Linked DNA regions of Styela clava. The protein of the gene in region 1 purifies or fractionates together with the protein of each later gene. This does not show direct contact. Links are inferred from orthologs where the notes say so. Each region holds a gene or a part of one and is shown on either strand. Other genes may lie near its edges.

Evidence for each region.
Region 2: the proteins of CCR4-NOT transcription complex subunit 1-like (region 1) and CCR4-NOT transcription complex subunit 2-like purify together in Drosophila melanogaster (affinity purification with western blotting; 4 studies listed by BioGRID, with this or other methods). This does not show direct contact. The link is inferred for Styela clava from reciprocal best matches to the Drosophila melanogaster genes Not1 and Rga.
Region 3: the proteins of CCR4-NOT transcription complex subunit 1-like (region 1) and CCR4-NOT transcription complex subunit 7-like purify together in Drosophila melanogaster (affinity purification with western blotting; 4 studies listed by BioGRID, with this or other methods). This does not show direct contact. The link is inferred for Styela clava from reciprocal best matches to the Drosophila melanogaster genes Not1 and Pop2.

Annotation. Positions count from the first base shown.
Region 1 is NC_135259.1:12,741,979-12,749,469, forward strand, and holds the start of CCR4-NOT transcription complex subunit 1-like, read right to left. Parts: upstream 3,042-7,491; 5' UTR 2,939-3,041; coding exon 2,837-2,938; intron 2,743-2,836; coding exon 2,635-2,742; intron 1,570-2,634; coding exon 1,347-1,569; intron 927-1,346; coding exon 838-926; intron 435-837; coding exon 311-434; intron 1-310.
Region 2 is NC_135255.1:11,670,400-11,678,272, forward strand, and holds the start of CCR4-NOT transcription complex subunit 2-like, read right to left. Parts: upstream 3,002-7,873; 5' UTR 2,810-3,001; coding exon 2,768-2,809; intron 2,645-2,767; coding exon 2,570-2,644; intron 1,819-2,569; coding exon 1,767-1,818; intron 1,583-1,766; coding exon 1,465-1,582; intron 1-1,464. Other genes in the region: pleckstrin homology domain-containing family H member 1-like, read right to left, coding at 5,149-5,220, 5,824-5,949, 6,765-6,854. UniProt on the Drosophila melanogaster protein: Component of the CCR4-NOT complex which is one of the major cellular mRNA deadenylases and is linked to various cellular processes including bulk mRNA degradation, miRNA-mediated repression, translational repression during translational initiation and general transcription regulation.
Region 3 is NC_135263.1:10,970,624-10,978,602, forward strand, and holds the start of CCR4-NOT transcription complex subunit 7-like, read left to right. Parts: upstream 1-4,978; 5' UTR 4,979-5,069; coding exon 5,070-5,186; intron 5,187-6,096; coding exon 6,097-6,290; intron 6,291-7,411; coding exon 7,412-7,573; intron 7,574-7,979. Other genes in the region: uncharacterized protein LOC120329965, read right to left, coding at 1-2,631.

The DNA of each region.
Region 1 (7,491 bases):
AGTCTCGATATCAAATGGCAGCGGTAACTAGAAAAGAACCGCAGAAATTTCCCAACACATTGGAGAAATACAACAACTCATTCATATCTTGGATGGCCATATGTATCAAAAAATTCACAAACCATAATTCTGATCTAGATTCTGGTTATCACTTTTAAGTCAGCATGTTTGATAAACTTGCTTTTCATAAATCTTTTATTACATTTGTCGAACAGCAAAAATATTAGTATTCATATCGGCAATTTGTGATTCAGAAGGACCTTGTCATCTCCTAATGGTTAATTCTTATTAAATATATGAATTTACTTACTAGATCTGAGAGTGGCAAGAAAAGCTTGCTTTTTATCAGGTGAAACAATTCCAGAGCTATCTTTGGCAAGATAACTAAGAAGTAAGTGCAGTACTTCGATGGCAGTGTCTTGCAGGCCAATGTCCTGGAGATAAAAAGTTATACAGAATAACAAGAGTTTTATAAGTACAAAGGTGTAATTTGGCCACTATAATGTCAGAAATATTACACCCAAATTTTAATCAAATAACTGTACCAATGTCATATGAAATGTTAAAAGGATTGTAATAAATCATATAAAAAATAAAAACAATAATCTTCTTCAGGTACAGAAACTTTGAAATTGATTCGTTATTTATTTGCTAAGAAAACGATATCTTTACAGCAGAAGAAACAACAATTTAGCATAATAATTCATAGTTATACTTCTTGTCCTATGATAACCTACTTGAAGTGACAAAAAATTCTAGACAGGGATCATACTTCAATTATCAAACTGGAATTCAAAATTTGACAAAGAAAATTATAAAAAAAAAAATCATACAAACCTGTGAATTGCTCCCTCTTCCACTAACTTTAACGCTTTCCAAATGTAATCGGATTAATTCAGGTAACTGAGTTTTAATTGCTTCAGTAGCTGAAAAATAACAAGCGAAAATGTCATTTATCCTGAAGAAAACTAACAAGATGACTTGTACATATGGCACGGACTCTTGCCTGGCATGAGTGTTCATGTCAGATAAGAAAATAGTTAGTCAGTTATTTGAATAAACTTGATGGTGGAGGAAGCCGTAACCGACTAGTGGTTAGGTGAACCACTCTACGAGTCCAGTAATCCTCCCACATGTAATTATCCCCACAAGATTTTACCCAGTGACACCGCGTAAGGTAATCAGTGTGTGTTCCTCGCACTTATACTTAACACAATGCACCAACATGTTTGATGAGACACAAAAATGGCCTAAATTCAATTAACTTACCCGAATAGTAAACTTGTTTGCCAGGTATTTCTGCCTAACTAATGTAGAAGTTTTTATTTAACATTTAGAACTCATACCTTGTTTTCGAACTTCCTGAATGCTCGAATGTTGCAGAGCGATTGCAAAAGTCACTTCTTGTACTTTTGTGAACTTTAAAACACGGCTGATATTGGTAAGTAGAGAGTCAGAAGGTACCAATGATTTTTGATGAGAGAAGGGACTGTCAACTGAGTGACAGAGAATTGAAATGAAACCCGGTTTTGTAGCTAAAGTGCTGCACTGCAATATTAATAGTTGAGTCTGAAAGTAAACAAAATTATAAATGTATGTAGGATTATAAATGTATGTGAAGAGTTGGGGTCTCGTGTAGTTTTCACCTCAGATACTAGTGGGTGTAGCATAACGATTTTTTGCACATGTCAATCTCAACCCCTACGTGACTACGCCATCCAAAAATTACATCACGACGATGTCACAATCACTCCATAGAGCTTGCCGAAGTATACTTACGATCGAGCGAAATGGCACCTGTACTGACAATGCAAAACTCACTAACGGCAGCGATCTCTCTCATATTGGGATCGTAGTAATAAAAAAACCAAGAAATAGCTTGCTCGATTTCAGGTGACCGTCTGCTCGTCTTGGATGACAGTTTGTATCGTTTGCAGGGTCTTATTACGTCACTGTGATGTTGTCGTGACGTTATTTTTGGATGACTCAGTCAGGTTGGGATTGGCATTGACATATGCAAAAATTGCTATGCTACGCCAACTAGAAGTACTTGAGGTACGTAACTACACTAGACCCAAGAGTTGTTGGCTCCTGTTTGAAAAAATTGAGAGTATACAAAACAAAAAAATACTACATATTATACAGCCCATCAAATTAAAACTGTTAGCAAATATTAAAATAGCAAGCAGCAATTACCATGAGTAGAGATATTGGTCTGTATGTCTTAAAATTAAATATTATTAAAGCATGTTAGGAGTCAAATTGATTGATCCAAATGAAATCTGCTTTCATGAAAGAATTCCAAGCGTTATTCCTCATGTTTTTGTCACATTAGCTTCATAATATTGTGAACCACATATCCTTAGTCTATTTCTAAATGTTGCCCATTTCATGGGTGTGGTACCCTGCACATCAAATTTAATGAGGCCAGCAATGCTGAGAATTTAAACGAGTCCAAATTTAGCAAGTACTGGTGTTCAGTCCAACCGATTGAATATTAAAACAGTCTGAACACATTACTGTTATATATAAGTACAAATTGACCATAAAGACTACATGAGTCTGTGATGATAAAAAATCACACCGACTAAATTACTGGTAGTCGGGATTACCATTCAACTGTTACTAAATTACCTGATGATAATCTTTTCCGTTACTTTTACCATCCCCACCAAAATCAATGGATGAAAAAAGACAGCGGAATAAATGACGATCTGCTTCTGGGCCGTGTCTTTCAGTAAGCTACAAAAAGATTGATCAGAAAATGCATGAATCAAAATTAAACAAAAACGATCATTATATCGGTAAATCGATGATCAGATTGAACAAATCTTACTTGTAGTATTTCTTGCACACCAGACTTATAATTTTTCTTGCTCAAATTCGCCACAAGGTAGCTGATATGCGATAATGCTAAAGACAAGGAATCAAGATTCATCGCTGCATCGGGGCAACATATCCCCAAATCCCGCGATATCGCAACCTCACACGCCGGATACCCAAGCTTTGATCCGGAAATTCTTTCCGCAGATTGAAGAAGAGAGACACACAAATACCAGAATAGGCAGTTAAATGACAATCAATCCGACAGCAATGGTATTTTGTTGATAAGAATATACGATTCACAATTCAGCAATTAGGTGTTATATATCATTAGGCATTTAAACATTCATCATAGAATTAATATAAGACATAAACACAAAGGAATAGGAATTAGATAAATTAGTTTAAACACCTTCTTACAGTGACAGTTGACCTCTCAGAAAAATCAACAATGATTTTAAACATGGCATAAGACAGTAAGAGTACATGATTTACATATTCATCCGAGGGCTGGAGGGGAAAGTAAAGTCTATAAGATGACTTAATAGCATCGTGAACTACAGCTATCCCCAACAAATTACCACTCCATTTCAAGTACAAGAGCATAATTTGAGATCATAGCAAATTTGTGGTCATCAACTTCAATCTGTCAATACCCTATCTAATGCAGTAATGTCCTAAAATGAGAAACAGGTGCTGCCAGTTTGATCACCGGTACTATCCAATCTCAATTTGGCAGACCCTTCATCGAGTAGCCTACATAATAAAATATATCAACCCAAATATACTGATATAAGGTTAACAGGAATCAAGTTTGAGAAGACTAGTTCAAAAAAGGGGGAACACAAAAAAATAAAATATGCATAGTCGCCCAATAACTGAATAAGATTTTTTTAACCCTCGGACAAGCAAATTTATTTAACAACGATATTCCTGTATTCATAAGTGACTACTGTCATTTGTCATTTTTAGGGCCAGGGTTACATGTGTCAAATGAATATATATATTTCTAAAAAAAAATGATAATTCTCACTTGGTATCTTACTGCAGTCTCACTTGAATTAATTGAAAAGCATGAATGAGTGCAGACGAAATTAACAAAAATTCAAGTGTTAGGGGTTCAACGTTTTTAAAAGTATTAAATGTTGTAAATCAGCACAATATTATTTCCTGATCTGGCTCCTATTGCGAGATCATTACCATCCAAAACCAGTATGAATTGACTAACGAAACTCAGCCCGAGAGTCCGCGGACAGCTATCTGCCTGAGGAACAATAACGAGCTACCGCACATTTCCCATGGCGTGGAACCATAATCAACTGCTTGCGCGACAAGTGATTGTCGAACAAACGGCTGTTCTACACATGATGGCGTGCACATAGTCTCACGATTATATTAGTAAGTAAGAAAGTTTATTTAGATTTTCCTTTACAACAAAACAAAGAAGCAACACAGGAAAAACAAATAAATATTCGGAAATAAGCAAATCTAGCAAAACGATTCAAGACGTGCCCACGCGCCCACTTCCCTCAAAACCAAAGTTACTAGTAGCCAACTAGTCACTTCGCCTCAAACAACAAACAACAAATTTTAAAAAAATACGGGGAAGATAATTCGGACGTAAATACCTGGGCGTGGAACTTGAACATAGGTCGCAATTTCTACTACAGTATATTGTACACAAGAAAAAAAGAGAGCTATGCTCAAATATATGGACACGTAGAGTCACATAATTTTGATGACGTCATAGCAAGAAAAAAAAAGTAATAGCCTTCTGGAGAAAATTTTTATCTTTAACCACTAAAAATTTCAAAGCAATTGGTCCAGTATTTGAAGAGAAAAGCGACTTTTTAAAAACGTGTCAAAGAACAAGAACAAGAACAAGAACAAGAACAACAACAACAACAACAACATAATATTGAAACGATCGTTATGTCCACTACGTGTCCAATAACGAGAAGTGTTGAGTACAGCAAACAAACAAGCGGTGCACAGTATGTTATATTTACTGTAATGTGATTCTGAACGCGCGTATCTAATAGTGGGCGATAAACAACAATAATAAAAGCAGCGTAAAAGTAAACGACAACAAACGAAATAAAATATAACAAGAGCATTCCATGCTCTGGCGTTCCAACTTAATAGTTGGAATCCATGTGCTTTGTGAACTTGTGTTTTGTGAACTTGTGCTGTGCAAACATTGAGGTGTATATAACACCTCAATGTGTGGAAGCTGTTGTCTCTGTGGTTTCCCGTAACTTAAACCGTAAATATATACCTTAAACGTACCCAGACTCCACTACGCAAGAGATTGCCGAAAGTTATACTTCGATATAAAATCAAATAAGTAACAATGTTGGGCCGAGATGAATCTCTGGAAAATGCATCATGAGAAATCAATTAAAAGATGTGCTATAAAATATAAATATATACGCTCCAATGAAAGTCGAATTCGTTTATCTGGCTTCATCACTTGAATGCATACATAACGCACATGCAGAAATTGAAGATAAGACTTCGCGTGGGGATGTGGCTAATTAAACTATTATTCTTAATTAGACCGATTATTCTTAAGCTGTTCAGTAGATTTAAAAAAAAAATTTAGATTTTTGAATATCATTGGTTGAAAATTAGCGACGTAGCGTACTTGAAAACATTTCCTATCGGCTGAATGTGGCTCCATTTAGCCTACTGTATTTGCTCGTTTAATAGCCCGGCGCTTATTTTTTTAACATACTCACTAACCGGGCCCTTATTCAAACCGGCCCTCATTCAAGCAGGGGCGCTTGTTATTTTTAAAGTAAAATTACACACAAAAATCCCGGTAGATGAGATCGATTGTTACAATAATTAATACCGTATATTGTCATTTCCAGTTCTCAAGTATGATTTAAACGAGAATAATGAAAATTTTGACTTTTTCTACGCACCGCAGGTACAAATCCGCAAAAAAAAAACTTTTACACCGGGCGGGTATTCAAGCACCGGCCCTTATTTATTTTTATGCCCTGTTCACACGAGCGGCTATTCAAACGGACCCTTTAATCAAGACCGGATGTTAAAACGAGCATTTACGGTACTTTATAAGAAAAGGAAAGTTTTTAGAAATTCCGAGAAAAAAATTTAAATCAGGTGCCGGCACACAGCATTTCTACTACTTGGATCTGAAATGTTCTGCTTTTGCGTAACTTTCGTTAATTTTACTTTTATAGTCGTTTTCTGTCCTAGTGCATTCAGGCCTACAACAAATTCGTCTCCAAATTTGTTAAAATAAAATTTAGCACCAACTTTAAAACTTGAAATGTGGCTCACGATCCACAATCTGCACCGACAACCTTTTGCTTTGTTTATGTGCTGCATTTACCGATTGATAAAGAAGTAAACCTAAATAACTCTTATTGGACACGTTTAGTGGCCATAACGATCGTTTCAAAATTTTGTTGTTATTGTTATTTGTCTCTTTTGTCTCCGTCTCCATTTTTGGAAAATCGCTTTTCTCTTCGAATACTGGACCAATTGCTTTGATATTTTCAGTGGTTAAAGATAAAATTTTTCTCCAGAAGGCTATTACTTATTTCTCTCTCGCTATGACGTCATCAAAATTTATTCCACTGGGTGGCGCTACGTGTCCATATATTTGAGCATAGCTCTCTTGTTACATATGTGCACATGTATATATAAGCGTCTTCTATTTTTTAACACCGAAACAGGTGGCCAACAAGAGGGGCTTCTTTTTCAAGACAACGTTGTATTGTAAAAGTAAGACAATATAGAAACTTGAATCGTTGGATTTAATGATAAGTAATTTAGAAGAAGAACTGAAAACACATTCAGTGTTTTTCAGAATAAAAAATGTTATATTTCAAAGTTGGTGAAAGATAAGGTAAAAAATTAACTACGATTGGAACGGTCGCATAACGTTTGCATGAAGATCCAAAGATTTCAAAGCTGAACACACCTTGAGATAGTACCAATAGTTGAGAATAGCAACATGGATTATTCTCGAAAAGCACTTTCCCTTTGCTTTGCTGGCAATAAATTATGTCAGTTTTTCATTGAGTATTAATTGAACGATAGAGTGATGCCCAATCAAATATATGAACACAAAGCCCAAACAAAGTAGCTCACCAGAATCGAATCCCATAGAATTTTTGAAACGAACAAAATTAATAGGTGTTTCTCCGAGCATTGATTTTCTTATTTATATCCGTAACCAATGACATTAAACAGCATGATGCGCAACTCCGGCATTTTTGTCCGAAGATCGTATTCGATAGCACGCTCCAATGCACATACTTGACGAGACGAAAACGAGCGGATGTGTGCTGCCTTCAAGGCGTAGCACGAATGGTGTTCGTGCCTGCTTCGACAGTTGTTGTCGATTTTAATGATATTTTGGAAAGTTAAGGTAAAAAGAAATCGGAAAAAGGTAAAGTAAATACTATTGTGGTATATCACACCCGGGCATCGCACTGTTAAGTACATGTGGGAAAGCCAGCCTTTGTCAAATACTACGAAGTTATTAATTCAGTACGGTACGTGGTTGCCCATTTGCCGAAATTACATATTTACTTACCCCTTATGGTTTCAAATAGTTCATGCACCTCCAGTTAGATTTTTTTAATCAGTGAGGATATTTACTCATTGTTGATTGCTGCTCATTGTAAC
Region 2 (7,873 bases), on another chromosome or scaffold:
AACAAAAAAATATATGAAAATAATCTTTCTTTAACCTAATCCTCCCGGTTTGACGCATGCGCGACGTTTCAGACGTTTTGCAATGCTGTGTGTATACCATGAGGTCTGGAATGTTTGTTATGGTCTTGCTTGAAAGGAAATCTTATTCCCCACACAACGATATGAGAATGAACCTTATATGACATTTAGAAGTGATAAAATTTCGCTTACATATCACGCGTGTACTTCCCGCTGCGATATAAAAACGTCGCACAACAAGAAAATGATTCCATAAACCTTGGCGTTGCGCGCTAACCAATAACAAAAGCTAGTATGATAAGGTCTTATTTTGAAGGTCATTTTATATGCTACATAACATAGGAGAGTGGACATCTCACAACGTCAGGAAGTTATAAAAATATCGAGTCGTTTGATCGCAGCTGCCTCACCGAAAAAAAAGTTAGGCTTTTATCTCGCAAATTCTCCTTGTCTGACGATTATAAGCTTTTATGATTCATAATAAATGTTTTATTATGACTCACAAAAGCTTTCAACGCGATAAAGCACAAACAAACAACCGATCGATCTATCAAGCTTAGCCTGGCCTGATTCGATGTGGTGCCTTCTCAAACGGAAAATTTCCAAAACGCTTGAACATTGCGCGCTATGGAAAAGCGTTTAGTATCATATGAAAGAGAAAACCAATGTGCAGTCAACTGTATAGTTACATTTCAGCTTTACAATAGGTATAGACGTCCAACAGCTGATAGAATGAGAGAGTGTAAATATTTTTGTTATTTTTTGACGTTACGAGAGACCTCTTGAAAGAGGTGTTTTAGTTTACGGTCCTCCAGTGACATCTAGCGTATAGTACTCTAAAATACCTTTCCAATGGTATATAATTATTGTATATTGGGTAAATTTTGGGGGTCGTATGACATTAATAAAAATCTATTCAAAATTGGGCTCGATTGGGCGTCTGAATCAGGTTAATATGGGTCACACATAGATGGAACAAGCTCCTGCATTATATTCTATATCAGCGATCGGCAACATGCGGCTCTTTGTTCTCAGAGCTCTGGTTCCCGTAAATCAAAGTTGCTATAGCAAAGGTATGGAGTAAACATAAACGATCACAAAACTGAGTTTTACTTGAAAGCAGCATTTTTTCGAGTAAGTGCGTCTTGAGTTTTGAGTTTTCCCTGATAATTTTGCACCACACGAACAAAAAGTTTGGAAACCGTTGCGTTGAAGCCTTAGACTCAACTGTGTTGGAAACACAGGTAACAAGTCTCAGGTTCAAATCCCACACCCACCAACTCACCCAGGGTGTAATAAAATGGGTAGGCAATGCCGACCCGACAAGATTGTGATCCTGAAAATAGTAGACTTACATATCAGGGCCTGCTTGTATAAGTCCTTGTTCCAAGCAAAAGACATAAAATATATGTGTAAAAAATCAGTGAAAATGTTTTTTGAGCGAACCTGTTCTGCTGTTGTTGTTGTTGATTTAACATTTCTCCTCCTAAACTTGTTGGTGTTAAATTCCCTGGTATTGAAAAACTCCGACCAAATTGACCCAAACCTCCCATTGTATTGGATTCTGTTAAAATAAATTAAAGAAAATGAATATTTCAATGTCATTTTATCCTACAGGTTCAAGTATCACAGCTTGAAGTAGTAACTGTAAATTATCATGTAGCATTCACACATCAAAAAATTTTTTTTACGATAATTTAATTCGTATTCGATTAGAAACGCTATGAATTTTGACGAAATTAACTTACTCTGCTGTCCATATAATGGAGAAAATTGTGAAGATTGAGACTGCCCTAACATCTGCAAAAAAAAAAAAGTTTCAAAATCAAACAAACACAATCTATAACCAATAAATTTTTTAGAGTGAGATGTATTTGTTATTTAAGTTTAGATGGCGGCGATTGAAGTTTTATTTGATTAAGATTTGCTGCATGAAGTTCTAATATGTTTGCTAAATACAACATTTTATGCAACCAGATACAAGGATGGAAAACTAAAAACAAGATATTGTTTTATATCTATCACAGGAAAAAAGAGACTGCTTTATCATATGGTGGACCAAGGTTTCTTGTCCTGTCACCAATTCCAGTCATACTCTGATAGCGGATGAGGTCGAAACAGACCAGTGGCCACATGAATCACTCTGCAACAAAAATACTTTCACTTCTGGTTCCATTCGCTATTTCAATAGCCTTTTCAATATACAGATATAGGGCTCATGGGCTGCTACATCAGCAAGGCACAGTTCTGCGATTCCAGGAATAGCCCCCATATTACAGACATCAATTATAACAGTGAGTGCAAACCCCTCCTTTCAGAGACACCGCGAAATGACACTGCGCAATAATCTAAAAGTAAGCCCAATCTAAAAACATCACCGTTGGATTCCTTGTAAAAAAATTATCTAATTAAAAGACAAAAATTTTACGAGCAGCATTCGAGAGTTTTTAGCAATTATGCCGCAATGGTTAAACCAATGCACTGTTTACCTTGGTTAGATCAAAACTAAAAATATTGAATCTTTGACTAACATATGACATGAATTACTTACGTCCGCTACAGAACTTCCAGAGTTAAGATACCCCATGCTTTCAAGTCCTCCTGTCATGTCGTTATCTTCAAAGAGCTTAGAAATGAATTTATATAATTGAATAAGATTGAGAAATAGTTCAGTGTCACATTAATAAAGAATTTCAAATTCATAGCTTCAATGATTTTATCAAAAATTTCAAGTAAAAAAACAACTTACCATATTCTTCTTTGGCGTGTTGCCAAAACCAGAACTGAACATATTGTGGAAACTGTACTAATTAGTTTTCCATGTGCCTTGCACAACTATAGATACAATGTAAATATCGTCAACTAGGAGAATAAAACATACAAAATGATGAAACACCAGCAAATTCCCACAAGAGACGGAATAGAACACTAAACAATAATGTAAGAGCTGCAAACAAAGCGATCTTGCCTCTGGCCCTGGGTTAGTTGACAAAATACCCACAGTCGGATACAAGAAATTGTTTTTACCACTGGAGGGCAAAACGACGCGGATTCATTATTTACCGGAAAACGTTGAACGCGGAAATGTATATTACTCGATATAAACGAATAATTATTTCGTTTAATGTCGAACAAATATCTGAGTGCAAATATCAATTTTTACCGACTAAAATTTTAACAACCATGCTACGCCATTTTATATACTTGACAATCTCAAGACATAAGGGTGAAAACCAAGTCGAACACTCCGAATCTTCGGAGGTTTCAATCATTTCCTATCATCCCACTTTCTCGAGATACAAGTCAATTTTCATGAACCTTTTTACACAGGGCTGATTACTGTTACAAATGTCCTTATATTAAAGCCTCAACATTTTTTCTAAACTGTTTGGACTAAATATCTAGCATGATTTCAGTGATTGTTTCGATTACTTATGAGTTTAAAATGAGAAATCTTCAAATAGATTTTTCGAAGAACCATTATGAGGCCTTACACATACTGAAAACTACGTTCTCTGAATTTGGTTTCCAACCTAGGACAGATATTAGGAATATATAGCCGGTTATTTGTTCTTTCGTCATTTTGAAATGTTTAATTTTTCGATTAAATTATTACCTATGATGTATTTTACCCTCTACTGCAGCTATCAATAAAACTAATGTATTCATCGAATAATCCCTTACCAGAAGAGGGGCCGTGGTTTGCCGTCTCATCGACTTTCCTCTCCCCCAAGATAAACATGTAAATACTTTCCTACCACTGGCAATGCATGAAAGATAGATTTTATAAAATATGCTCCAGGGGTTTGCTTACGAAGCATCCAAGGAAAAGGCAGTACGGTACCGTATTTCGTTTTTTTTTTTGCATTACTTTAGTTTTTGTGGAATGCGTCAACGCCTTCGCAGAGCATGTAAGAATCCCAAAATGGTAGAATCTTTTTACAAGTAAATATGAACTTCAAGAAGCCATGGTTGAACCTTTTTTCTCTCAAATTATGGTAACAAACTCATTCTGGAATTCACACAATACCAGAGAAATTTCATAATCACTAGCTGAGCAATCCATTTACTAAAATCCTCATTGGGAATATTGGAGGCTTCTTCGCTTAGGAAGTGAATGCCAACAAAGTGACGCATCAATTTTCCTGGAAATTGAAACTAGACTTCGTGGCTCAAGCAGGTATAGATGAAAGCGCGCTTAGTGGAGGATAATTCGGCAAACGAAAGTGACAGCCATTACAGGCTCTCAGGAACGTAAGTCTTTGGCGCAAGAGCTTTTGCCGGACCAACAGCCATCCTATCACTTTTCCTCTCTACCAGGATAACTGAACAAAACTCTTTCGGAAGCCCCACTAACATTTCCAACTAACAAAGTCTACCACAAAATTATAAACATAGCACAAATTCAATTTTCGATTCTTTTACTTCTTAAATGAAGAGGTAATTCCAAATACCTAATGTTGACGAATAAGAAATAATATAAGGATCAAAAATATTAAGAACCATGCTTCAAGTTGCACCAAGCTGCTAAAACACCAAAATTATAAATGATATCAATAAGTGCATCATAAATAAAATATAGTATACAGTTTAAATGAAAAAAAAATATATGAAATTCAAAAACCACAACATTTGATACTGTGAGTAGGGATTATTCAAAAGATTCCCCTCAGGAAAATTTGAATTCAAATAACCAAAATGGAACTTATTGTTCAAGAAAGTTCCATAGAAATAATCAGTGATTTCATGATGAACAGCATTAATTTCAAAAATCATTATGAATATAAAGATATCACTAATTGCGAGTATTTTGAAACAAGATCTTTTCCTGGTGGCCCTCACACAATAGAAAAGTTATCAAAAACACCAATGATCCCGGTTCTGATATCCTTCCTAAATACTCAGTAATTATTAACAAAGAGTGTAAAGCTCCATATATACGAAATCCAATTCCTTTTTCTTGAGATAAATATCATGCTCCAAGATGAGCATCCTAATGCAGACGGTTTCCATTTATTCCAGCTAGAAGACTCATTTTTATTTCACATCTTCCAATACTACACATGCCTAATAGCTGACGCCCATTTTAGAATGCAATATCAATGATTAATACTAGTTGGCTTAGCAGCATCATGGAATATATCTCTTCTTTGCGGTGAATACTTTCATGTATTCGGTCATCAGATGAACAATCTCAGATGCCTGCAAAGCAACGGATTTTATATTACGATAATTGAAAGCATACATGCCAAAGTGGCAGTATCTGGACAATGATACTGCAACTTTACTTTTACGTTTGTATGGGGCATTCAACGCTTTCACTTCTAAAATGGCAAAGAAAAGAATACAAAGAAAACTACTAAGGACCTACATTCGTCTGGTGTGCTCCGTATAGTCAATTTTGTCACACTCACCAGCTCTTCGAATTAGGGTTCCCGACCCGCCGGTGGGTCGCAAAAAAGCTCAATTTGGGTCACGGTAAAATCTTTTTTGACACTAATTTATAATTCCATCTTTAGTGCAAAAATATACAAGCACACCGGTTTCATTGAAAGTATTTTTTTTTATGATTTCCAGTATTATCAAATTTTATCAATTAATTATTATTAAATTATTATCAAAAATGCGAAAAAATTTAGCCAGGTCAAGTGATGTAAAAGTAATGATGACAGAAGTTTTGAAGACAGATGGACTATAAGTCAATCAAAAGAACTACTAAGACCCTATTTTTTTGGTCAGCCAGTCTTTTTAATTGTTCTTGGTATATCAATCTGAAGTGCAGTAATAATATTAAAACAATCAGACCTTCTCCTTAGACATGGAGTAGAAATGCTTTTCAGGAACACCTTCTTTTTCAACAACAATCATGAATCTGTTGTCACATCCACCATATGTCATGATATTTAGGTACTTGTAAGTGTTTTCAATGGCCTGAATATAGAAAAAAAAAGATGACCAGAAAATATGGACTACCGCATTCCACAGACCATAAGTCGCATGTCAATAAATGCTTAGATTGGGTTTTTATTTATACATAAGGCGCACCGGGCTATAAGACACAATAGGTTATTAAAGAATTAAAGTGCACCTTTTGGGCTGTAAAAAATAGTAAGTCAAAAAAATTGTTTTGTTTCAAAAATCTGACATAAAATTTCGTTTTCATTTTTCAAGACAAGTTTCATATATAACCCAACAAAAAGAAACAAATACAGGCCTACAATATGCATGTTTATATAAGTATAAGAATGATTACTCGCTTCAAATTTAAAACTCATAAGACAGCTTAATATTAATTCACTCAATCAGACCAGTTGTTAGTAAAATAAGAAATGATAATTTGAATCAGGGGTGTGCAACCTTTATTAATACAAGAGGGACAGATACAAATAACTGGGTGAAACTGCGGGCCGCATCTTTTTTAGCATAGGCTACCTATTAGTTGCAGGCACAAAAATTTGGTTATTGATCTTGCGTTGTTTGCACAAGCCAGCTGTTACGGCATTGTAAAGTCATAGGCATAGATAATAAATTGGACTCGGGTATAGGCTTTTCAATGCAAAAAGATTGGAATTACTCGCAGACACCAAATTAAATTAAAAACTCCTTCACGGGTCGCACATCATTCAAAATTGGCACCTCTCCAAGCGCCACACAATTTTTTCCTTGAGGGCCGCATTAGGCCCACGAGCCCCAGCTTGCACACCCCTGATTTAAATCACTGACAATAAAGTGTTCAAAATACAAACCATTGTAACATAGTTCAATTCATTAACACCATGTTCATGTACTGCCAACCATATTGTTGATAATTTATTATGTTTTCTGTTTACTTCAACCTGCGAAAAGAAACAGAAAGATCTTTCAATATATTTCTACACGAGAGATGAAAAAGTATTAAAAATGTATTGTTAAATGTATTAAATTTCAGTAATATCTACATTAAAATTTGATTCAATTTCATCAAATCAAGAATACTGAGACACTTCTCAAATATTTTTTCCTATTTTCTTTTCTGTTTTCAATATCAGATTTCTCATTTCTAACAAAATAACAAAAAAGGCATTATCCATTGATATTTTTTAAAACCAGTTGTTAAAAACAATAGAAAAAGCATCATTTCATGGCTACTACCCAAAAACAGATGATTTTTCTATGCAAAATTAGAATATAGATTTAACCCTTTCCATGCGATTTTTATTTTTTATTAAATAATCGTATTTGCTACGCCGACTTTATGCATTTGTACCCCCACAACTAATCGATCGACTAACGAAAAAGTAATGATCCTCTGCTGCCCACTGACGTCTCGTTGGAAAGCTTATTTAAAGAGCTTGCAATTGGCGATTAAAAATTTTTTTTTTTTCAAAAGGGGTGGTCTGAGTCACAAACCGGATAGAAAAAAGGCATTTTTTTTTCTTGGGTGTTGAAACTTCAAACCGTGATAAAAAATAGAAATATTCGCTAAATCCTTTACTGTTACCGCTTCTTGGTTGGCAAACAATAGCATAATATTGCTGTAGCAATTTCGTTATCTAACTCAAAATACTTTGGTAGATGGAAGGGATAATATGTCTTCTATTACCACCCAAAAAATACCGAAATTTGCATAAATTTCAAAAACACTCCCTCGTTCCGCCGCAAATAAAATTCCCATGGTAAACGAAAGCGAGATTTACCGTCGCTTGGGTTAATCTCGATGAAGACTTCTTATCAACAAACTAAAACCCGGAAAAACTAGACCAACAGTTTGCGACCGATTGCTGTATAAAACAGTGGAGTACATCAACGTACCCGCCGCAATCTAGCGAGTTTTGTCGTGGGTACGTATACGTGCCCACCGCACAAAAAGGGTTAA
Region 3 (7,979 bases), on another chromosome or scaffold:
AAATCTTCTTTCAGCAACTTGCTTATTATCAGGCAACTCGATATCAGATGACCTCCATGGAATCTTGACTTGATATCTTCCATTCACTTTACAAATTGAATCATTCATGATCTTTAAAGCCTGTTTGTCTTCAATAGATGGTAAAGTGTCAAATCCACTGACATTAGAATCCTTTAATTCATTCCGAAAAGCTTGCTCCATCTGAACATGCAATTCTTCATTATCCAAATGAATCCAATCAAGATGTTTTACACTTGGTTGATGAAATTTACCATCCGGCCCGAATAATGCCCATCCAAGACCAGTATGTACAGCAAATGGCTCTGAATTACTCCCACGTCGCATTCCATAACACGCATGAGCTTCAGGCACATCTACACCAATCAGGACTTCAACTTTTGCATTCTTTGCATTTGGAAAATTGATATCTTTCAAGTATTCGTATTTCGCCATCGCACTATTAGACGGTATGTTGCATTCCAAATCCGAGGGAAGATCGTCCAACACTCGAACTCCATGCATCTGAATAATCCTAGTTTCATTGAGTCCTTGAATATTCAGTGACACTTCAGGACTTGATTTATGTTCAATTTTTCCACCCAACGTCTTAATTACGAGTGGGTCGCTGTTGCCATGTAAACCAAGTTTCTTCATAAGCTCAGTTTTTATAATGCTAACATTACTGCCATCATCAATGAATCCATATGTGTCGTATGATTGATTATCGGTTCCCCATACTCGCACAGGAACCACCTTTCTTCTTATAAAGGTGGCAGGTTTAACTTCAGTAGCACACAACTGAGTCGAAGTTACACCGGCCTCATTGGCGGTCGTAGCTCCGGCCTCATTAGACCTCACATCTTGAGGTGATTGCACATCTGTACTACCATTTGGTTTCACTGAATCAGGCTTCTTATTAACGTGCAACAGTGTGTGATGTCTTCTATTGCAACCTGGTGCTCTACAATGATAATTTGACTTGCACTGGCTTGCAAAATGATCTGGAAGCAAACAATTGAAACACAACTTGTTCCTGGAAACAATCTCGAACATCTCTTTGGCTTTCCTTTTCTTAAATTCTTCACACCTCCACAACTGATGATCAGATTTGCACACAACGCACTCTCGTAGTGGTTTTCTCAACGTGGCATTACTCAACTTAGGATCAGCTGTGGGTGCTTTAGAAGATGACTCTTCAGAAATAAGAAATGATGACACACTGCGGTTGCCCCGCTGACTCGGACTGTCAACATATTTCTTTCCTTTATGTGTCTCAAGTGCAAGCTTACCAAATCCAGATCTATTCACATTTGAAACTGTCTCCATAAATGTAAGAAGAGTATCAAAATTGACAATATCTCCATTGGTGTACTTCTCATTAGCAATGTGAGCAAATTTCCATAAATGTTGTATTGGAAATCTCTTTACAATCTTTCTTAATGTAGTTAAATCATCCAAACTACATCTGGCATCATATTCCTTGAATACAATGAGGCAATTCCGTGCCTGGGTGACCAATTCATCCCATGCATTAACATCATTTGCCTTTATTGAGGGACCTTCAGTAAGTAATTGCATATGTGCATCAATTATGAGATGCCTCTGACCATAATTTCGATGCAAAATACTTCGTGCCAGTTCATAACCTCTTTCTGCAGGTAAAGAACCACATGACAATATTGCTTCTTTAGCAGAACCTTCACAATTGGAAATCAAACAATTCAATTTCTGAGCAACATCCAATTGACTCGAACCAATAAAAGTATTGAACTCTCGAACAAACTCTGTATATTTAAGAATTTCTCCTTTAAATGTTGTCATCTTAATATGAGGGAACATCAAACCTTGCTTAATGATATTTGCTACATTCAGCATTCCTCCCTGTAAAGCTTGCGTCAGCTGCGCCATCGCATGAACAGTGTGATCCGGCATACCATATTCCATCTTAGCATGGCTTCTTATAGTACCCGGTGACTCAATCTTAATTTCATGGGCTGCTGACCTGTTTACAGGTTCAACATTCGGCACTTCAGTGGGAATCAAGCGAATGAGATGCTGATTTGTACTGGCATCAAATCTATGATCATGCATAATATCACTCACCAAATTCTTCGCAGGTGATGGAATTTGATTCTCATTTGATATGAATGGAACGTTCGGATCCAACATACATCCTTTGTCATCCTTTGCCATAGGAGTAAAAATTTGCCGCAAGATTCTATTTGCTTTCTCTGGATCAAAGTCCGACACATTTGATGGTTTCATAGGAGGCGGAAGTGACGTATCAGCCACATCATCTTGACTTAATAACTTCAAATGATCAGTAATCGGAGTTGACTTGACAACTTTCTCAGAACTAGATTGAGCCTCAAATCCATAAAATGTTGACCCGTCAACAACTGAACCTTGTCTTGAATGGCTAGCACTTGACAGCATATCATACTCAATTTGAGCTTCTTCAGCATCTGCTTCGGCTGCTAAAGTTTGAGAATCTAATTCAAGTTGCTTACGTTTCAACTCAGCTTGCTTCAGAATTTGTTGCTTTCTCAGATTTGCAAGTCGCAATCTCTTCTCTGCCTTTGCTCTTTCAGACATACATGACTTAGTAGTTGATCCAGAAACAGTTGACATCTTCACTTGACTTTAAACTTTCAAGACAACAGTCGAGACATATATTGTAACTTAATGTAGAGTTAAGAGGTTCTACAGGTCCTATTTCTGATTATTGGGCTGTCTTGTCAATCTACTTCCGTAGCTAACTCTCGACACAGTAGTAACGCACACATAAACACATCCAACTTGTATGAAAGAACTTGTAATGAAAGTATATTTACAGTATATACAAGTCACAGTCCAGTAAAATTCCACAATCAGGTTAAAAGTTCCACAGTAGATAGATAAATTTCCACAGCAAGTATAACGGCAGTGTAACACAGTGAATGTCAAAACTTGATGTCTGTATGTAAATGTATTGTATGTGTATTGTATGATGTGTTGTATGATGTGGTTACAATATATTTGTGTCTCCAGCCCAACAACAGTACTTAAATTTAGCTACAAGACACAAAAACAATAAAAGAGTATAATTAGCCTTCGACATACAACTCAATTAGAACCTATATTACTAAATAACCCTAAACATCCTAACAATCCTAAATTAGCATAATCAAAACCCTACAATTTGCAACTCAATGCCGCAAAGTAATCGCAGCTACTAACAAAGAAATTCATGTGACCAGGCCTCATTGCACTGTCTCCCACACTAATAAATAGGACATTTAGTATAATACAATAAGAAAAACAAGGGCATGAATACAAATCAGCTGATATAAGAGAGTATTGCACCATCATTGCCAAGACTTCAAACTTTCTCTCGGTCAGTGACGCTTAATATAAATAAACAAATAAATAAACGAGAGCAAGTCTGAACATGTTTATCGGGACCAGAATAACTAAAACTAATAGGTTAGTTCACGAAAGTTAAATTTCTGCCTGTAACAGAAGTCATTGTTCAGTGCCGACAATGTAGAGAATATAGGACAGATCGTAGCACATATTTCTTGTAGTAAAAGCGTCTTTTCCGTAAAACGTGCAACTTTTGGACGTGGGAACAAGGCAATATTTGTTACTAAATTTTTAAGGAACATTTTAAAATCATTTTCAGGTAGTTACCTGATGTGCGCTACGAAACTCATTTTCTAGGCGTTTTTCAGGGCCTCGGCTCGCGGCCTAATATGTTAATGAAGATTGCAACTGGATTGAAAATATTACGCGGAAATAATAAGTGCGCACAGATAGATAGATAGATAGTTTATTTCGAAAACTTCATAGCAAACCTAAATTTAAAATGGAGAATTCTGGAGGGCAAGCAAAACCTGCAAAAAAGTTTAAAACATGAAGTATCTCATGTGCCTGCCCACCAGCACGCACACAAAAACACAAGCCCAATTAAATGAAGCTTGGGCCAAACTTAAAAAACAAAATACACGATAGTAATAAACTTTCGGGCTGTTGTACTCTCTTTCAACAATTACGTTGATAATGACCAATACCTACAACCTCATGCAAAGATAATGTGGGGAGTGGAATGTAATAAATTTGCGACGATAGTCATACTCATGAAGCCATGAAAGCTTTGGGAAAAACCAAGCCACGAAAAACTACACTGATTGCTAGATTGGGCATTGCAGAAAAGGTGATAAGTGGTTTCATATACAAACAAACGCAAAACCATGGCGGCAAATTCGGTGTGCGGACACTCATAAAAGCAATTATTAGGAAAAACACTAATCACACATGAGCAGGTCTGTAGCCTAATTGATACATTGACGTGGCCAACATTGTTAAAACAGTACCGGTATACACACAGAGAGAACAAATCAAAAATATGCCACTAAATGAATGTTTAAAAATGTTACACTGTAAGTTACACTGCAAACTATTTACACATATATAGTTGAATACTCGGTATTCAAGCGGAATTTCTAGAAATAGCAGTATATCATACTCTTTGTCACAAAATAAAATATCTGAATCAATCCCTGTTGTATTCATCTTTCGATTTTGTTATGATGTCCGTATGTTGTCTCAGTTTTCGTATCAGATTGAAATTTCATATTTATACAGTTGGGAAAGGGAGTTAATAAAACAGCGATAAAGTTGGAGTTTTTATAACATTTATAAAATATTTTTGTTTTTTCTTCTAATTGATGATTGTTTAAAAACATTAGTTTCAGTTTACAGTATTCGTTCCACAATTTTAACCGCGTAGGATTTGATTTAAAACATGGTACATACAACCTGACAATTGCGTTTGCTTAAAATTATTTATGTTGGTACGATCAGGTGGTGTTGAAGTATTAAAATAAAGCTAATATTTCAAAAAAACTTCTCTTTACATGCTATATTTAAATGTTAATAATATAACAGTACTTTACTGTTAAAATTGTAAAAATTATGGTGATTATTATTTTATGTTCTTTTTCCATTAAATAAAATAAAGCGAATGAAAAATCAAATAGCCTAAGACTGTTTCTGTGTTTCGACTTCTTTAAAAATAGCACTAGCATATGAAGATGCCTGGTCAGAATGCAGATGATCCAATCCTCGAAGTTTGGGCATCAAATGTTGACGAAGAATTCAAAAAAATTAGGAAGTTGATTCATCATTATCCTTATGTTTCTATGGTAAGCGTTTTATCATATTGCAACAGGCTGGATGATTACCGGTACAATAATCCATTTTACTGTTATATAATGTTGTATTTTTTATATCCAAGCTTCTGAAAACTAATACCTGGCTAACTAACCCCATACCTGACATGAACTGGTCACCGTTCGAGAGGCCGTGGTTTGCCATATGATTAAGCCGTCTTATCGCATTCCCTCTCCCCCGGGATAAATATGAAAATCTTATATAGTTGATTTTCATAAATTTAGACAGAGAAATGGAAACGCGATATTGTTGAAAAACCGAATCGTTGTTTTAGTGGTTTGTCACTTAATGTATTTGAACATATAAATACCGGTATAACATCATTTTAACCTGAGAATATGAATTTAATTTCCAGTTCGAATCAGGTAAAAAATATAAATTGAGAAATATAAATTTTTGTACAGTATGGGTTAAATAATGCTGAACTGCTCAGTGTTGAAGTTTTATTCATCTATGTTTTTATTGAAAAATAAGTAAATTTTTTCTCATTTTATATATTCTATCATAGTTTGACCCCCAAACCTTAGTCAATGAATAAACCTTTTTTCAACCATTGATGACAAGAATGCGTTCTGAAGACATACTGAAATAGTACTTCCTATTGTGTCATAATGAATAGATTTTAAAATATTGGGGTAACTCTCAGACTTCCCTAGTCTGACTGATAGAGGTCAAATGTTGAAGATGAAAAATTGTCAGATGAAAAATTCTAAATTATTCCTAAAATCAACAAGTAATCATATTGAATATAATCGAATTTAAATGTATCCAAATATTTATTTCATATGGAAATATCTGTTTGTTCCGATTGTTAAAGTAAAAATATAGGCTTGAGAGTAGGCTTGACCCAGATACTATTACTAATATAAACATTTAATTTAGGACACAGAATTTCCTGGTGTTGTTGCAAGGCCAATTGGAGAGTTTCGAAGCAATTCAGACTATCAATATCAACTTTTAAAATGTAATGTCGATCTTTTGAAAATAATTCAACTAGGATTGACTTTTATGAATGACAAGGGTGAAACTCCACCTGGAATATCAACATGGCAGTTCAACTTTGCTTTCAGTTTGAAGTGAGTTTGTTATCAATAAATAGTTCTTTGGTTTATTTTTGTTTTGAAAATTCACCTAAATAGTAAATTGTAAAATAAGGTTTTTATTATAATTCCACCATATTGATTGTGCCTTTTTTTACATTTTTGAGTAAATATGCCGAAATTGTATTTATACAGTTATATTCAAGACTTTTTATTGCTTAATTTACTGTAATCCTTTCTTGGTATATTTTAGAATGTAAATAACTGTTTTTTAACCAGTTTATTTCGACCAGCACTTTTTCTTTTGGTCCAATATTGCATCTATAAATTGGTTCCATTACATTTGAACCCATGACAATTGTACCTGTATGCTATTGCACCTATGGAATTTTTTTTGTTTTTCGGATAGTTGAACCCATACTAACCCTAACCCATGGGTTTTAGCACCTGCATATAGATTGAACCCGTGGATATACACATGGGTTCAAATGTACGTGGGTTCAAATGTACGGTCACCCTATAAATTATATCCAATTGAGCTGAATGCATGACTTTAATTTTTCTAATATAGATTTATACATACAAGTTCACTTTTGTGTTTATGCAAAATTTTAGGCATTTTTTATGATTATTATATCCGGTATTTGTAGGCCTATCTGATTTTTGGGTACTCCCGTAGTGTGAGTACCAGGTTAGGGCATAATTTTATTCCGATTTTCCTTATTTTAGTTCTATTACGAGTTCGGGGACTGTCTGTGTTAGCCAAGTGAATATACGCCTTGCCCATAGGTTTTAATCCGTGTTTATACAACTTGTAGAGTAAGCGAACAAAATTAGTTACTTCCATATTGGTACACACACTTCTGGACTGGAGCCTCGATTTTTGTATCTAAGTATGCCAGCACAACCCATAAGTACCAAGTTAAAATAAAAGAATGTGTCATAGTAATGTATTTGACCCTGTGTAATTTTGAGACGTTTAGATCAAAATATCAATTGAATTAATCATCAAAAAAGTGTAGCGTTAATATTCTTTATGAGTAGGGCCACAATTCTGGGAAATATTTTTTCAAATATACTATGCATATTATCATATGGAATGCAATTGGTAACCATATGTTTTATGATTTTATCGTTTCTCTATCTCGTTAATTTAGCGAGGATATGTACGCCCAAGAATCAATTGATCTACTGCATGAAAGCGGAATTCAATTTAAACAACACGAAGACGAGGGAGTAGAACCTTTATATTTCGCAGAGCTGTTAATGACATCAGGCATTGTCCTCATGGATAATGTTAAATGGGTGACATTCCACAGGTTTGTGGTGTTACTGGTAATACCAAAATTAAATTCTTTCACAAACGTATATTAAAACAGCACTCTCACACTTTACAACACTTCACAATACCTATATTGAAAAAATTATTCTTTGCTTTAGTGTATGGGTATTTAAACGGTGCTCATACACTATGCAACTCTCCATAATTTATTAAAAAAATTCACTCCTGTTCCAGTGTATCAGTATTTTTATACAATTAATTGCAATTGTAATGGCCATTCACTTGTATTGTAAATGGTTTATTTTTGAGTGTATGACTCTAAATTTTGCGTGTCTTAGTTAATTTTTGTTACCAACTTTATGTCAGCAAGCATGTATATTGATATACAGGAGTAGGAGTTAGTTTTGAAATATTTTTTTCTGATTGGTATTTTTTGTTAAATA